Caenorhabditis elegans: one gene and its partner. The protein of the gene in region 2 purifies or fractionates together with the protein of the main gene of each other region. This does not show direct contact. Each region holds a gene or a part of one and is shown on either strand. Other genes may lie near its edges. The genes, in order: lron-12 and nhr-166.

The links.
Region 1: the proteins of nhr-166 (region 2) and lron-12 fractionate together in Caenorhabditis elegans (co-fractionation; one large-scale study listed by BioGRID). This does not show direct contact.

Annotation. Positions count from the first base shown.
Region 1 is NC_003281.10:12,116,434-12,120,357, forward strand, and holds the start of lron-12 (eLRR (extracellular Leucine-Rich Repeat) ONly), read right to left. Parts: upstream 2,049-3,924; 5' UTR 1,983-2,048; coding exon 1,845-1,982; intron 1,500-1,844; coding exon 1,294-1,499; intron 920-1,293; coding exon 703-919; intron 649-702; coding exon 505-648; intron 303-504; exon of another isoform or gene 226-302; intron 1-225.
Region 2 is NC_003280.10:3,878,591-3,882,514, reverse strand, and holds nhr-166 (Nuclear Hormone Receptor family), read right to left. Parts: upstream 2,271-3,924; coding exon 2,199-2,270; intron 2,075-2,198; coding exon 1,966-2,074; intron 1,475-1,965; coding exon 1,209-1,474; intron 1,167-1,208; coding exon 1,044-1,166; intron 997-1,043; coding exon 747-996; intron 688-746; coding exon 416-687; 3' UTR 340-415; downstream 1-339. Other genes in the region: srh-250 (Serpentine Receptor, class H), read right to left, coding at 2,624-3,285, 3,573-3,885.

The DNA of each region.
Region 1 (3,924 bases), on a different chromosome or scaffold from region 2:
TTAATGAAAATTTCAAATTAATTTTCAAATTAATTTTTTAAACAATTTTTCTAATTTTTTTGGCTAAATTCAAAAGGTATTTTAGTTTTCTCTCTTATTCGAATTTAAAATTTTCAGAAAAAATTCAATAACTATCCTAAAATAGATAATTTTCAAATTATCGATATTTCTTAGCGAATTCTGAAAAATTATTTCAGGCCCAATTCTTTAGATGCGGTTGAATTTTTAGGCTTACACTTAGGCTTAGACTTGGACTTAGTTTTAGTCTTAGGCTCAGGCTTAGGCTTAGGCTTAGGCTTAGACGGGGGAGGTGACAAAACATTTTCAGATAATTTTTCTAGTTTCTTCGAATTCTCCGAAAAACGTCGCAAAATGTCAAAACTTGGGAATTCATATGCGCGGGAATTCAAATTTTTTTTTGCAAAATTGAAAAAAAAGCCATTTTTTAAATTTATTATTAAAAAAAATTTTGAGACAATCTTCTCAAAAATCACAAAAACTTACATGAGATGTATGTGACAAGGTGCTAAATGTGCTCGGTGGAATGTCGAACTGAGAGTTTTTAAAGTGAACCACGTGGAAACGCGTCGAATTTGTGAATATCTCGGGCTCAATGAGCACAACTCCGGAAACAGTGAGAAAATCGAGCTGAAAAATTTAATATTTTTAGTTTTTAATTTTAAACAAAAAAAATCTACAAACCTGATTGATATTTGCAAAACAGTGCCTAGAAAGAGCCAATTCTTCTCCAGAAATTGTCAGCTCTCGAATATTTTGTGCATTTCGGAATGTGTGCCCGTCGATTCGATGAATCGGAGTTTTTTCGAAAATTATCTTGAGACCCATTTGATTTTGAATTCCACTGAATGCGTTCTTCTGGAGTTCTGTTAATCCGGGGCAGGTGGTGAATTTTATTAGTCTGAAAACATACAATTGTTTAGCGGAATGTGAATTAGGCAATTGCTGTCAAATTTTTTCCGGCAAATTTTTTCCGGCATAACGGAAAATCGGCAAATCGGTTTGCAGGAAATTTTCAATTTCGGCAATTTGCCGATTTGCAGGAAATTTTCAATTCCTGCAATTTGCCGATTTGCAAGAAATTTTCAGAGCATTTCGGAATGTTCGAAGCATAGTTAAAATATGCGAAAAAATTCAGGAATTGTCATTTTTTGACCGAAAATTCGAAAAAGTGTTGAAAATTGTTTCTATGATTTCTCAGGTTTGCCCATTTTATATGTAAGTTTATAAATTTTTCTTATGAATTTATTATTTTTGAAATATCAATTTATTTACCTAATCTTCTTCAGCCCCTTAAATGCCAATTTCTCAATTGTTCCAAGATTCGGATTATTCTCAAATTCAATTTGCATCAACTTTTCCATTTTTCGAAACGAATTTTTCTCAATTGTTCGGACAGAAGAGTTTCTGATGACGAGGCTTTCATATCCAGACGGAAGCCTGTCAGGTAGAGTTACAACTTGTTGCCCTTCACATGTCACCTGAAAATATATCAGTCTTGTCACTCAATCATTATTTGAGAAGGTTTTTGAAATTTGAAATTTGAGCAAGCTAAAAAATTTGAAATTAGAGAGTTTAAGATCTATTTTTTGAGACTAAGTCAAGTATAGGTTTTCCGTGTAGGCGTTAAAACGCCTGCCTGCCTGCTTGACCTTTAGGCGACCTCCGCCTGCCTCTCGCCTTAATACGCGCCTTAACTTGATCTTCATCAAACTTATAGAAATGAGAATTTGAAATTTGAAAATTCACGTCAAAACGCAGAAAAAAAGGGAAAAGGCCAGCGTCAGGCGGGCAGGTTTCAGGCAGGCGCCAGGCCTTCAATTTACCTGTTGCTTGTCCTCATCGCATTGGCATCCCATCGGACAAGTGTCTCGGAGGGCATTTGAATATTTCAAAAAATGAAATAAAATCAATAGTTTCCAAATAAAAATGTTGAATTTTTGCACATCGGAAAAAAGATTCATTTGAGTATTATTCGAATGAATAGCATTAACACGTCGTTCCTAACAACAAAATCATCAGAGATCAATCTGAAAAAAAGTACATTTTTTAGATTTAAAAAAAAACCACGAAAAAAAATTCAAAAAAGCAGGTTTCAGGCAGGCGTCAGGCCCTGACATCGCACCTGGAAGCCCTTCCTTACACATTTAATGAGGTGACTCCAATGACTTGTCACTCAAATAATGAGCATGTTTACTCAAATGAGCATGTGTCACTCAAATAATGAGCATGTTTACGGGGGGGGGGGGGGGGGGACACCAACAAGTTGTGTGTTCCGAGCTCGTAAAAAATGAGCACAACAAGTTTTTTAGTTTTTGAAAAAAAATGACTAGATGATGATGGGGGCATAGATGGAATCAACACAAACAACATTAGTTTTAAGTTTTAAAATGTTATAATATGACTCATGATTTGATTGGATTAGAAAGGGAGAGGAAATGAGTTAAGATTTTCAGAGCCACTTTTTAAAAAAAAATTCCAGTTTGTTTTTGCAATGGTAGTTTCTAAAAGTTTCAAAAAAGTGTTTTAAACAGCTCTGAAACGTTAAAAATTTTATTTCGGAAACAAGAGAAATAAGTTGGGAAATTCAAACTTTATGCGAAAAAATTTTGGCGGAAAGTTAAAAATTTCTGCGAATTTTTTTTGGCGGGAAATTCAAATTTTCTGTGAAAAATTTTTTGGAAGGAGATTCAAATTTTCTGAGAAAAATATATTGGCACGAAATTCAAACTTTCTGATTGTGAGAAAATAATTATTGGCAGGGAATTCAAATTTTCTGCGACAAAACATTTTGGCGGGAAATTCAAATTTTCTGAGAAAAAAGTTTTTTGGCGGGAAATTCAAATTTTCTGAGAAAAAATATGTTGGCGAGAAATTCAAAATTTCTAAAAAATAATTTAGCGGGAAATTCAAAAATTCTGAGAAAAATTTTGGCGGGAAATCCAAATTTTCTGAAACTATGTTTTCAGGGAAATTCAAAATTTCTAAAAAATAATTTAGCGGGAAATTCAAAAATTCTGAAACTATGTTTTCAGGGAAGTTCAAATTTTTGGGAGAACACTTTGGCTGAAAATTCAAATTTTCTGAGAAATTTTTTTGGCGGAAAAAAACACGAAATACACGAAAAAAAAAAAAATCAGATCGAAAAACAAAATGTTTTTGCCTAAAAATTTTAATTTTTTAGTGAACCAGAATAAATTTAAACTTTTGATTTTCAGAGGAAATTTTCCAATTGTCATTTAAATTTCGTAAATCTCAAATCAAAACAATAAAACACATGGACCACCCAACAAGTGACAGAGCGGCACACGTCTAATGTCAAAAGGGTGTTTGAAAAGTGGATTGATATCAGAACGAAGAGAAATGATAAACTAACATGTGTGCACTGACACTGAACACTTTATCTCTATCTTTCTCACTCGATCCTCCTTATCACACAATATTTTTATAAAATGTGGAATTCTATCTGAAGATCGGATACTTGAAGGTGTAAAGCGATATGGCCTGGGCTCGCGGAGCTCATCAAGAGTGAAATCGGAAGGGGTGGAGTCTAGAAGTCACTTAATTATCTCTTTGCCTCCGGCGATATTCTGAATATATATTCGAGAAAATTGAATTTGAAGAAAGCGTATTGTGATGGGGGAAATTACCGAAAAATGAGTTTGTAAGAAAAAAGTTTAGTCCAAAGTTGAGAGTTTTTAAAAACAAATAGAGAGGTTTGAGTCAGGGGTGGAAATTGCCATTCGGCAAATCGGCAAATTGCCGATTTGCCGATTTGCCGATTGCCGGATATCAATTTCCCGGAAATTTTTAGAGAGCTTTTTTAGAAGACGGAAACACTAACCTAAAACAGGGGTGGGCGGCAATGGCAATTCGGTAAATGTTTTTCCGGCAAATTCGGCAATT
Region 2 (3,924 bases):
TGAACTGGGGTAGGTTAAAATCACCGAGGATATAATGGCAACAATGACAGTATATACAGCGCCCGACATTTCGCGAGTCCATTTTTGACGACATGAGCTCTCAAAATAGAGACCTTTTCCATTAGGCGGCTCGTAGAAGATACAGTACCTTTCTGATTACAACTTTAGCTGGGAATTTCACAGGGATTCTGAAAACTTTTCATGTATTCGGTTAAAGGTTTATACCACATATTTCACATCTTGTTTGTGGCAGGAAGTCTACTAGAAATTTTCATTTTTGTTATTTTGGACCTGATGTCTGCGGTTGATCACTCAAATAAGTTTGATGTACAAACAGAAAAACAAACTTTATTAGAACAAACTCTACACACTAAAATAGATTTCAAATCATAAGGACAAGTTATAATAATTGTCTCTAACTCAAATCATATCCCCTCGTTTTGCAACTTTCTACCAAAACTTTTTGGAAGCTCATTGTCGGGTCCCATTGTTTCCGCAGAGCATCAAATAGCTTGTAGCTTGCGTGGAACTGCCGATTCAGGATCTGATTGATAGAAATTATCTCTAAAAGTCGACTAGGAGCAGATCTAGGATTGTTGATGAGGCAGAACTGGAGAAGAACATTAATAGTTTTTTGGAGGAATGCGGTGATTATCGCTTTTCCCGAGGGGGATAGGCCGTCGATTTCTGAAAAAGAAAATGTAGGTACATAGGTAGGTAGGCAGGCAGGTAGGCTCCCTCCTCACCTGGATTACAGATCACAATGATGCCCAGCAGCAGGTACTCCGTTTCAGTCAATTTCATTGCAATCAACGGCTTAACTGGTGTTGTCAATAATCTCATAATTAGATCCTTACAAAAGTCCATTTTGTTAAGCGAGTCTGGAAACATTTCCGACCCATCGGGCGCCAATATTTTTTCCTTTTTCTGCGAGAATGAATCGAAGGCAACGGAGAGATGGAAACTTTTCAGAGTGACGGTTTCCAGGAGAAGAATCTAAAAGTTTTTAGCTCATAGAAGCCTCGAGTAAAGTAAGGACTTACTCTATCAGAAAGCAAAAGTTTAGGGTAAAAATCCAAAGATTTGATAGTTTCAACAGCGAGAAGCATGCCCAGAGATCCCCAAGGCTTCAACTTTCGTTCTGTATTTTCCCAGCTTATATTTTTCTGAAAACACACGTTTTTTCGCCATTTCATATATGCACTTACCGGCCTAAGATAACAACTGAGTCGGGATTCCTGACGAACCAGATCTACGAAACTCGGATTCTCGTAGGTGTCGATAATCTTGAACACTTCATGGCGAGTCTTGTCCAAGATTTTCAGCTTTTGCAGAAATTCAGCATTTCGATGGTCTTGAGTGATTAGTTGTGTGGGGATATTTGTTGAGATTATTTGAGATTCGGAGCGAGAAAATAGTTCAGGGTTCATCCCAACTTCCAGGCACTTTTTGAAGCGGCACGCTTTGCATTTTCCTGGAAAAGTTTTAAAAAATTGTGCCTACAGTTGTGTCTACAGATCGCGCCTATAAAAACCACAGAAACCAAAACTTTATCAAACATCTAACAAAACTCGAAAATGATCCGTTTCAAAGTTCAACGAGATCTTACATTTTTCCAAAGATGTGTCTATAATCTTAGAAAGAATATGTACAAACTCTAGGTGAACTTCCGGTTGTTTGATAAATATAGTCACGCTTTGGCAGACAGGTACGTGTGATCACGAAAAAACATCAAAAGTGGGACCGGAAGTTAAAATGAGCACAGGCACAAATGAGCACAAATGAACACGTTGATTATGCACCATGCCTGCAGAGGGCTATATTACACATTTGAACAAAAATACAATTTGAGATGTGTAATACATGCAGTGTTTTATGCATATTAGATGTATAATGCATTTTGGTAGCTTCCGGAACTATTTTTATTATCCGGAACTATTTTTATTTCAAAAATTTTTAACTCACTGTTCCCACCGTCCATATTGTAACAACTTTCCTGCCTTCTACATGTATAGTACTTCTCCATCAAATAAGTTCGTTTGAAGAACATCTTGCAAGCATCACATGACAGTACCTAAACTTATGAGATTAATCTTAATTCATAGTTATGCATTATGCCTGAATTGCTCATATTCTACCTACTTGCCTACCTATCTACCTGCCTACCAACCTTCCAACCTACAACAAGGAAAACTTACCCCATAGTGGCATCCACTTGACTTGTTTCGGCAGATAGCACAAGCAAATGGCTTCTTCGGAGGTTCGGACATTGCTTCACGGAGCAATAAATAAGATTAGTTTTATAAGCAAAAACTGGCTCACGCTCCGCCCACGCGAGGGATATACGCTAAGGAGTTGTAGCTAGGAGTAATGATAACTCTGATTTCATGCTTCAGGTACATAGTCGGCGGGATATAATCACACGTTTCACTAAACCAAAACAGAAAAGCTTGAAATCATTCATGTGTTGAAAATCTGAAATATAATAAAATGTTCTTGATTTTGATCTTTAATCGTTAAATCTAGCTTCTCAACTTTTCAGGTATACGTGCCTACCTGCCTGCCTATCCCAATTAAATTCCTGCTTGATAATAAGAAATTTGATTGCTACAAATTTATTCGTTCAAGTTAATATAGCAGGTACAACAACATTTTCAACTTTTCTCGACCTAGAACATGTAAGTACTAAAAACGCAAATTCCCTATAGGGCTTATAAACCAATATTATCACAACAGTAGATCCGGTTCCAAAACATGAGAACAAAATTATAATAAAGTTATTGAGAATTTGATTGTGATACTTGAAAATTACAATATACAGTAAAAGCACGCAGGGGATAAACATAAAAGTCATGATAAAAACAAATTGCAATGACATGGATACTAGGAAATTTTTTTGAACTCTCACAGTTCGATAGGAGTATTTATAGTTTTTCTGTCTTTTCAAAAGCTGCCGGAAAGTTAGTGTGAAAAATATTACAATCGGGAAAATTGCGATACTCGCTGCAAATACACCACAAATCGCTGGTACAATTGGTTTCAGAGTCAAAACGAATAATTCCTGAAAATTCAGAGAAAACACTTTAAGACATGGGATGGATTTCAAGACATGTTCACGAGCATGCTCTTGCTCAGGGAGTGAAGCGAAAATCGGTATGGTGTAGGTGGGAGGGAATAGGCACATAAGCGGTAGGTAGGCCTTTCGGAACTTGTGCCAGCGAGAGGTAGGATTGATGACAGTGAGGAGGCGGTTTTCATAGACGGCGATGATGGAGACAGCGAAGGCTGGAAAAAATCATAAAACAAACTACAAACTATAGACCGTAAACTAGAAACTACAAACTGTAAACTACAAACTACAAACTACAACCTACAAACTACAAAACTACAAAAAGTTAGTCAGTTTTGATCAATCTGTTATGGTCAGAATACTATAAAATTATGTAAGAACTTTGTCTCCCCATGAGCTTTTTGTAGTTTGTAGTTTGTAGTTATGCTGACAAACCATAAAATTTCGAGTAAAATTCCAGTCTTTTCGAAAAGTTAAAGTATGTATATAAACTTCAACACACCTCCCAAAAACGTAAATCCCAAATAAAGCAATGGCCCTGGAGCCTGCACCAGCCCGAGCCCATACCCAGCTAAACATGGCAGATGAAGATACGGCACTCCGATACAGCAAATCGTCAAGTCAGAAATCGTGCTCCAAAAGTGCACATTCAACATGAGCCCCTTCACTGACTTCATTTTCTCGGGTGTCTTGAATTGAATACAATAGGCTCCGAATATCCATATTGGAATTTCGAAGCAAGTAATAATACGGGTTGTTAGTAATAGAAAACTTGGGGAGGCAAAGTACGTGGCGTCTGAGGAACAATTTGACATTTGCTAATCGGAGCGAAAAAAATCAAAAAATAACAGATT